Linked DNA regions of Mus musculus: regions 1 and 2 are each reported to be linked to region 3. The links are microRNA targets in miRTarBase. Many come from high-throughput screens and were not tested one by one. Region 3 holds a microRNA gene; each other region holds the end of a gene's coding sequence.
The links. The annotated mature microRNA mmu-miR-3058-5p reads UCAGCCACGGCUUACCUGGAAGA and lies in region 3 at 960-982, opposite strand. An mRNA with a match to its seed (bases 2 to 7 or 8) in the 3' UTR can be bound and repressed. Matches are read on the target gene's strand: a 7mer-m8 pairs with bases 2 to 8, a 7mer-A1 pairs with bases 2 to 7 and ends in A, and an 8mer does both.

Region 1: the mRNA of H2-D1 is a reported target of mmu-miR-3058-5p. Seed matches in the 3' UTR shown: 7mer-m8 at 614-620.
Region 2: the mRNA of Gjc3 is a reported target of mmu-miR-3058-5p. The part of its 3' UTR that is shown has no 7-base or 8-base seed match.

What each region holds. Positions count from the first base shown.
Region 1 is chr17:35,266,568-35,269,810 of GRCm38, forward strand. It overlaps H2-D1 (histocompatibility 2, D region locus 1), which reads left to right. Exons shown (of 8, transcript NM_010380.3): 7 at 121-159; 8 at 299-930. The coding sequence ends at 303. Among named protein-coding and RNA genes, the nearest start is that of H2-D1, 5.1 kb to the left of the region's middle.
Region 2 is chr5:137,954,517-137,957,773 of GRCm38, reverse strand. Gjc3 (gap junction protein, gamma 3) reads left to right here. Exons shown (of 3, transcript NM_080450.5): 2 at 1-569; 3 at 1,330-3,257. The coding sequence ends at 562. Among named protein-coding and RNA genes, the nearest start is that of Gjc3, 7.0 kb to the left of the region's middle.
Region 3 is chr10:95,558,327-95,561,583 of GRCm38, forward strand. It overlaps Mir3058 (microRNA 3058), which reads right to left and starts at 995; the gene lies at 905-995. The region is part of intron 1 of Nudt4 (nudix (nucleoside diphosphate linked moiety X)-type motif 4); the gene reads right to left.

The DNA.
Region 1 (3,243 bases), not on the chromosome of region 3:
ATGGGAGCTCTGGGAATCCATAATAGCTCCTCCAGAGAAATCTTCTAGGGGCCTGAGTTGTGCCATGAAGTGAATACATTCATGTACATATGCATATACATTTGTTTTGTTTTACCCTAGGCTCCCAGAGCTCTGAAATGTCTCTCCGAGATTGTAAAGGTGACACTCTAGGGTCTGATTGGGGAGGGGCAATGTGGACATGATTGGGTTTCAGGGACTCCCAGAATCTCCTGAGAGTGAGTGGTGGGTTGCTGGAATGTTGTCTTCACAGTGATGGTTCATGACTCTCATTCTCTAGCGTGAAGACAGCTGCCTGGACTGTACTGAGTGACAGACGATGTGTTCAGGTCTCTCCTGTGACATCCAGAGCCCTCAGTTCTCTTTACACAACATTGTCTGATGTTCCCTGTGAGCTTGGGTTCAGTGTGAAGAACTGTGGAGCCCAGCCTGCCCTGCACACCAGGACCCTATCCCTGCACTGCCCTGTGTTCCCTTCCATAGCCAACCTTGCTGCTCCAGCCAAACACTGGGGGACATCTGCATCCTGTAAGCTCCATGCTACCCTGAGCTGCAGCTCCTCACTTCCACACTGAGAATAATAATTTGAATGTGGGTGGCTGGAGAGATGGCTCAGCGCTGACTGCTCTTCCAAAGGTCCTGAGTTCAAATCCCAGCAACCACATGGTGGCTCACAACCATCTGTAATGGGATCTAACACCCTCTTCTGCAGTGTCTGAAGACAGCTACAGTGTACTTACATATAATAATAAATAAGTCTTTAAAAAATAATTTGAAAGTGACCTTGATTGTTAACATCTTGATCTAGGGCTGATTTCTTGTTAATTTCATGGATTGAGAATGCTTAGAGGTTTTTTTGTTTGTTTGATTGATTTTTTTGAAGAAATAAATGGCAGATGAAGGAACTTCCAGAATCTGGGTCACTATGCTGTGTGTATCTGTTGGGACAGGATGAGGCTGTGGCAGCTGAGTGTGAACAGGGCTGTGCCCAGGTGGGCTCAGTCCATTTTGATCTGTGATGGGGCCACACCTCGGCTGTGTCACCTCTGGGCTCTGTTCTCTCCATCACTCTGAGGCACATCCTGAGAGTTTGTGATCACAAAGACACAGGGAGGGCCTGAGCCTTGCCCTGTCCCCAGGATTATGAGCCCCTAGGGCTAAAGATCAGAGACTCAACTAGGGATCCTTTAATGTGCTGGGTGTACAAGACAATTCACCCATTTCCTCTCACCCATCCCTTTTAGCTACTAATGATGCTGTGTTGAAGCTGCCCTGGGCTCTCCCTGTCCCATGCTACTGTGGTGATTTCTCCTTCTTCTCTTCAGTATCTCTTCCAGGGTTCTCAGGTGTAGGATGTGATTTTTTTGTTAAACTCCCAGGTGCACATCCTCAGGTGAGATAATTGGCTTAGATTTTTCTAAACTCATTTTTAATAAGGGTTCTTAAATGCTTAACCTCATTTATAGCCCACCACCCACCAGAAGTAGAGAAAAAAAAAGGATATCGGATTAGTTCATCTGTTTAGAAATGGTTCTTTGAAGCAAATCCAATCTGCATTGTCAGGATATCAGTTCACAAGAATCAGCAATAGCAGCTCAAAGCAGAAGCGGCCAAGAGGCTCAGCTCTTTGCTGTTTAGAAGTAGTTTCTTGGGGCAATTTCAATCTCCAATTGTCAGGATACCACCAGTCCAGGTCTGCAGTGTCAGGATAGCAAACCCAAACCATTGACTGTGGCATGACCCAGCAGAAACTGCCAGGCCTCCATGAAATCGGCCTGAGTCAGCAGGAATGACCAGGAGAGGTTCTCTGCCCTGACTCTCCACAAAGTGAAGGTCAATGAAGATGAAGACTTGAGACCAACGTAGCATTGCAAAGCAAGCTATGCAAACCCTCCATCACTTTCCATTGTGTTCCATTATACTCCCTCCAAACATCAACGTGTCCTCACAGGAGTCTTGCTTTCCACGAGACTTGCCTCAGGAAAACACCACGTAAGTCTGTCTTAGCAAAACTCCACTTGAGTCTGTATCAGCTCACATATCCAGAGACTTTCACTTGACTCTGTCAATCATCCTGCTGCAGAAGCAGCAAGAATCCACCAGAGCATCACCAGAAGGTTTTTGGTGCATTTCTCTCTATGGAGTCACAAGCAACGATGACCAATAAGTAATGGTAAAGCTTACCAATACCATGTAGCCTCGTCTACTGTCTGTTGGGACTTATTTATATTTCTTCTAAATATCATGTGTCCTTTCTCATATCTACTTTAGCAAACACCCTTTCACCTGTGTCTGCTGCAGCAAAACATCATTTGACAGAACTGACTTTCCACAGAAACCAGAAGTTCCCACTTCAAGAACAGCGATGTTTCTCTCCTATGTAACTTGGGTACCGGCCCCTGAAACTTTTTTTTCAAAAAAAGATTTATTTATTATTTTATGTGTGTACATTGCTGTCTTTAGACACACCAGAAGGGGGCATCAGATCCTATTATAGATGATTATGTGCCACCATGTGGTTGCTGAGAATTGAACTCAGGACCTCTGGAAGAGCAGTCAGTGCTCTTAATCACTGAGCCATCTCTCCAGCTCCCCCCACCTCTGAAACATTTATACTCCTCCATTATCTTCTCTTTTAACAGCTTGTGTTCTGGAGTTAACTCCCTGAACTCTCTTCATCTCTATTCCCAGATCGGGTGAACCTGTTTCTTGCAGCCCTGACTTGGGCATGCTGGATGCATATTCACCATAGTCTGTCTTAAAGCCCTGTCCATAGGCCTGATGTTGCTCTGCATTGTGGATGGCTCTGTATTACAGGAGACCAAAGTCCTGCTCATAAGCCTGTAACCATTTAAATTATGCAATGTTTATACCAATAAGGACACAGGAGGCATAAACTGAGGTATAAACCTGCCAGCTCAGCGAGGAAACTTTATTTTCCTAACTATATGGGATATACCTATTACAAGCCTGATTGTACACCTAAACTGCCAGCTCTTAAGAAATCTCGTTCTATCTGTGTCAATCTTATTAGGCTAGTTAGTCTACCATCCCCTTGAGCTCCTCCAAACCCAAGAGGGATCTTTAGCTCTGCTTCCTAGATTTCTGTTTTACCTGTGTCCTGCCAGATGCTTCTCTGTTGTTCCTGCAAATCCAAAGAGGAAATGCCCATTACTTACCCGGAGCTCCTCCCATATTGGCTCTTCCAAGCTGAGAGAGAGAGAG
Region 2 (3,257 bases), not on the chromosome of region 3:
TCCATTGCGCTTCTGGGCCTTCCAAGTCATTCTGATGGCTGTACCCAGTGCCATTTATGTGGCTTTCACTCTGTATCATGTGATTGGATACTGGGAGGTACCAGGAAAGGAAAACAAGGAGCAAGAGACCCAGATTAGCAAAGGGGATCATAGCAAGGATGTCTCAGGGGCTAAAAGCCTCAAGCTTCTCTGGGCCTATGTGGCACACCTTGGGGTACGGCTGGCCCTTGAGGGAGCAGCTCTAGGTGTTCAGTACAATCTGTATGGTTTCAAGATGTCCAGCACTTTTATATGTCGTGAGGATCCTTGTATTGGCAGCACAACCTGTTTCCAGTCTCACCCCTCTGAGAAGACCATCTTCCTCAACATCATGTTTGGGATCAGCGGGGCCTGTTTCTTATTTATTTTCTTGGAGCTTGCGCTTTTGGGTTTAGGGAGGTTTTGGAGGATATACAAGCACAAACTTTCCTTCTTAAAGAAGTTGCCAACTTCAGAGAGCTCTGTAAGATCCAAGGACACAACCGATGAATTGTCAGTGGTGGAGGCAAAAGAGCCATTTTGAGATGCAGGTGAGGACCCTACTGCCAATCATCTATCCCTGCCTCTGATCTCTCTGTGTTAGCAGTCCCCACTTAGAGTAGGCCCCTCATCCTTTGGGGTGTACAGTTCCCATGTTACAAAGTTTCTAAGCAGAGGCATTCTACTTTTACTTTGGTGTGTGTGTGTTTGTGTGTGTGTGTGTGTGTGTGTGTGTGTGTGTGTGTGAGAGAGAGAGAGAGAGAGAGAGAGAGAGAGAGAGAATATTCAGGTGCCGGTGGAGGCCAGAGAAGGTGGTAGATCTTTTGGAGCTGGAATTACAGGTAGCTGTCCAATGTGGGAACTGGGAAGCAAACTTTGGTTTCTTTGCACTCTAACCACTGGGACATCTCTCCAGAACCCAGATGTATTTTTTAAGGGATGAAATGTTTACTTTGGTTCACAGTTTGAGGGTACAGTCTCTCTTGGTGGAGAAGGCATTCATATATGTATATGAAACAGCTAGCCCTGACTGGCGTGAAATTTGCTATAGTAGATCAGGCTGGCTTTGAACTCATGGAGAACCATCTGCCTCTGGCTCTCAAGTTCTAAGATTAAAAGCAAGAGCCACCATGCTCTCAGTCTCATGGCTGAGGCATGTATTTGATTACTACCCCCAAACCGTTTCCCAATACCTATCCCTATCAGTTGCATGACTCCTTGTGGTAGACCCCGATAAGCACACTGGTTTGTGTATTGCCTGCTCTTTCATTTGGTAAAATCCTCAGCTTCTGCTTAATTTCTACTTTTCAGAGTTGTAAAGTTGCCTGGATTGCCTGCAGAAAACTCTGGGACTTGATCTTCAATACATCCAGTGAGGTGGCCGGGGAGATGGTACAGGGGTAAAGGTGCTTGCAGTCAAGCCTCATGATCTGAGATTGATCTCCAGAACCCACACGGAGAAGGGAGAAAACCAACTCCCACAAGTTGCCCACATACATGTCATGAAGAGTACACACACACACACACACACACACACACACACACACAAAGAATAAATAAAATAATAAAATCTCAGAAAACAAAACAAGACCTCCTACATCAATTAGCTGCCACTTCTAATTTTTCTTTCCTGTCTCTCCACTAAATATAAACAAAAAACAGGCTACTTTCTGTTCTAATGGATTATCTATCCTATTCTGGGATTGTATAGAGATGGAATCATACAGTATGCTTATTAATCACTTGTATATCTTTGTAGAAAAGACCAAGTTTTTTGCCAATTAAATTAGGTTATTTATTTTTGCCTTGTATAAACTATATAATTGTTAGATACCTATCAAGTGGCTCATTTCAAAACATTCTCTTCTATTCCATGGGTCATCTTCATTTTCTTCCTGAGTAGCATTTCTTTAAAATTATTTATTCTTTGATAATTTCCTACATGTATACAGTGTGTTTTGATCACGTCTACCCTATATCCCTGTATCACTGCTCTTGGATCTCCTGACATGTCCCTATCCTAATTTCTTGTCCTCTTCTTTTCTTTATAACCCACTGAGAACAAAAATCAGTGCTACTCAAAGTGTGAATTGGTGTGAAGCTATCTACCCGAACACAGTCAACCTACTCGATGCCACACCCAAAGAAGATGGAGTCTTCCTCTGCCAGCATTGATCAACTGCCAACAGTTCCTCAGTTGTGGGTAGTCCTTCTCTCATTCATCCTGTAATGCTGAGTGTCTTGAGCTTGTGCAGGCAACCACTGCTTCTGTGAGTTTATGAATGCAAGTTCCTGCTGTGTTCATAAGATGTTGTTTCATAGCAGATCTCCCAGAGCACTGGATCTTTACATTTTTCTTTCCCATTTCTCCATCTTCTCTAATGTTCCCTTGAGCTTTGGGGGGCAAGGATGTGCTGTCGATGTCTCATTTGAGACTGAATATTACATGGACACCTGTTTCTGCATTTACAAATTGTAAGTCTGTATATTGGCCACTGTTCACTGTAAAAAGAAAAAGTCTGTGGTCAGTGTTGAAAACTGACCTAATCTATGAGTTTCGAGAATCATTTAGAAGACAGTTTGATACTATGTCAATTTAGCAAACTAATAGTGACTTTTCTGTAGGGCTTTTGAGCTCCGCAGGATGGGTTCTTGGCCAGATTTGTAGTACCAGGCATGGGGTTTCTCTTGTGGAGTGAATCCTCAATCGAATCAGAAAGCAGTTGGTTACTCCTGTACCAGCTACACCACTGTTTCACCCATGCATGTGTCTTGTGAGGCTGGTTGTTGGAACTCATCAGATTCATACATGAGAAAGAGTTTTGATGACTAGGAAGGCTACCCAGCATAGAGTTGGCAATATTTTTTGATGTACAAAACTTTACATTTTTTTCCCAATTCTTTTTTGAGACAGGGTTTCTCTGTGTAGCCCTGGCTGTCCTGGAACTCACTCTGTAGACCAGGCTGGCCTCGAACTCAGAAATCTGCCTGCCTCTACCTCCCGAGTGCTGGGATTAAAGGCGTGCGCCACCACGCCCAGCATTTTCCCCAATTTTTTATTAGGTATTTTCTTCATTTGCATTTCAAATGCTATCTAGAAAGTCCCCTATACCCTCCCCCCGCGCCCTGCTCCCCGCTCCCCTACCCACCCACTCCCATTTCTTGGCCCTGGCGTTCCCCTGTACTGGGGCATATAAAGTTTGCAAAACCAAGGGACCTCTCTTCCCAATGATGGCAGA
Region 3 (3,257 bases):
CTCAGTTAAGTGCACTGACTGCTCTTCCGGAGGTCCTGAGTTCAACTCCCAGCAACCACATGGTGGTTTATAACCATCTGTAATGGGATCTGGTGTCCTCTTCTGGTGTGTCTGAAGAGTGTGACAGTGTACTCATATAAATAATCTTAAGTTAAGAAAGAAAGAAAGAAAGAAAGAAAGAAAGAAAGAAAGAAAGAAAGGAAGATAGAAAGAAAGAAAGAAAGAAAGACCCACCTGACTTTGGGTAATGAGATGGCTCAGCTGGACAGGTCACTTGCTGACAAGCCAGAATACCTGAGGCTGGTACCCACATGGTAGAAGGAAGGAAAGAAAGGGATTCTACAAGTTGTCCGCTGACCTCCATAGCATCCTCTCCTGTCCATATACATATATGCAAGTAAGAATTTTGAAGAGGGGGACCGAACAGTTGGGTGAGAGAGCAGGAGTCACTGTTTCTCAGCAGGTGGGAGTTCATCTTCTGTTTCATTATACCTTTGTTTTAAACTCTAGGTTGGTGGGTAAATTAGACTATGAATAACTTCTGCACATGCAGACTCTAAAATCAAGTCAACGTGATTTATTTTGGGTGTGTGTGTGTCTGTGGTGAGCTGAGGAGGGCTGGGGGGCTGGGGAGGGGGCTGGGTGGCGGGGATGAAGCCATTTACCTAGTCACAACAGCAAACACTTCCTTGTAATTATACTGTCTTCAGAAACTGGACAGCTGACCCCAAGCTCCCTCCATGAACACTAAAGACTCTCCCCAGAGAAACCTATCAAAAAGTACTATTATTTAACACCCCAAAGCAGACAAATAGGATCTACTGGGTGTACAACACAGTCAACATGCTAGCTGATAAACACATGGTATTACTGAAGCAACGAATCAGAACCATCACAGAGCTCTTCCAGTAGCAAGAGGCACCCACGGCTGACAGGAAGAAAGCCAAGTAGACATTCAATCTTCCAGGTAAGCCGTGGCTGACTCCAACGCTGGAGAATTATCCCGAAATCACCCTCTGACAAATCATACAAATGGTAGCTAGACACATGCTCTTCCTAGAAGAAGCTGCTTCAGTGGTCTGAGAGGTTCTCCTTCAGGTCTGGGGGAGCCACAGTCACAGATGGGTGTACCTCACAATGTTCCTAAAAGGTGTGCCTCGAGCTGGGGGCGCAGCTCAGCGGTAGAGTGCCTGCTTGCCTAGCACACACAAGCTCTGACACAGGAAAGAAAACCCATGTGGTTATTGTAAGTGGTCTCCATTTGAATGCCTTATCTGTTCAGTGACTTAAATCTCTTGGTCAAACAGGCCAATACCTATGAACCGGGAGACTGCCAGAGGTTAAATGACAACTGATCCCCACCCCCTGTAAAGGCCGGCAGGGTTTATTTGTTTGTTTGGTTGGTTGGTTTTTTTTTTTTTTAATTGCATTAGGATTCCTGACTGGGGCCGATACTCTTCCCGGCTCTGGTTTTAGTTTTGCCTTTTAAGGAGCCTTCATTTTCACCATGCCTTACTTTTGCTGGATTTGGACTTTCCTAAGCTATCAAGCTCTACAGCAGGCTAGCCCAGAGGGAGGCTAGATGCTTCATTTGAACCACCGATCCAGATCCAAGACAGAACTGGTGTCCCTCTCAGATTTTTCGAGACATGGTTTCTCTGTGTAGCCCTGGCTGGCCTCGAACTCAGAGATCTGCCTGCCTCTGCCTCTTAAGTGCTGGGATTGAAGGCGCGCACGCCACCACTGCCTGGCTCGCTCTCAGACTGATTTGCTCATGCACCTGGATGCAACCCAGGATGGAGTTGCTTGATTCTATGTCCCACTTTGCTCTCAAATCCCTCAAAAGTCTAAAATTGAAATGTCCTTCCTGTCTTGCCTGGTGTGTGACCTCTGAGGTGCTGTTTTCCCTGGAGGCTTTGTGTGTGGTAGGCAAGCAAGCATTCCACCACTGAGCTATTCTCTACCCAAGGTTCTCACGTTTAAAAAAAAATCATTCCCCTTTCTCTGCCAACCCAAGCTGCTCTTGCAGACCACAGCCCCGAGCCATCCTCCTCTTCTATTTGGGGTGCTAGGTCCCTCCTTTCCCATTTACTGAAGTTCCAAGTGACACACACTGGGCTCCTAAACCAAAGCACACAGAGAAGAAAGCACTCCAGGCCTCCGTTGTTATTTCCCCCTGTTTCATCTAATCTTCCATACGACAGTGTATGTTCCTTGCCAGCTCAAACTATCTTTACATCCACTATTCAAATACATATGCAAATATATTCAACGAGAGCCATTTCTGGCTACCAACTCACCACGTCACCGTCTTTTCTTTGCCTATGGAGAGAGGAGCCCAGGATTGAACCCAGGCTCCTGTGTTCGAGGCAAGCTCTCGACCATGGTGCTATCTCCTTTAGCAACGCTTCCAGCAGAAACAATTTCCAAGCACACACACACACACACACACCAATCCACCTACCTGCTTAAAGTCATTTATGGACATATACCTGTGGGCTGGTCTGAAGGCTCAAAGCCACACTGAAGCTGACAGGCCTCCACAGGAAAAACTAGCCAGAGAGGCTGCTCAGATACACTGAAGACTTAAAAACACGGGGAGTCAAGTCCTGCTTGTTCTGTGACCTTGAGATATGTTACTTCTGTGCCCTAATTTATATGCCCTGTCACTCTGTAGACCAGGCTGGCCTTGAACTCAGAGATCAGACCCCCTTTGCCTCCCACATGCTGGTAGTTATGGCGTGCACCAGTATGAACCACTACTATAAGAAAAACCTGTTCGGGCTGGTGAGATGGCTCAGTGGGTAAGAGCACCCGACTGTTCTTCCGAAGGTCCAGAGTTCAAATCCCAGCAACCACATGGTGGCTCACAACCATCTGTAACAAGATCTGACTCCCTCTTCTGGAGTGTCTGAAGACAGCTACAGTGTACTTACATATAATAAATAAATAAATCTTAAAAAAAAAAAAAAAAAAAAAAAAAAAAAAGAAAAACCTGTTCTCAGTGGGCATCAAGGCTCTCGCCTATAATCCCGGCACTCAGGTGAGCCAGCCAATGGGGGCTCTCCGTAGCCTTTTAGGATCAGATGGTAATTAACTTTTTTTTTTTGAAGTTACCCTCATCTTTAAAAACATACATTTAAATGTTCTAACCAGGACCTACAACTCCTTAACCCAATAAATAAGCAGTTTTTACCCATTAGCTGGAAGGGTGGGACAAGCAGCTTTGGTCTATCCTTGGATGGCTCGTGGTATCA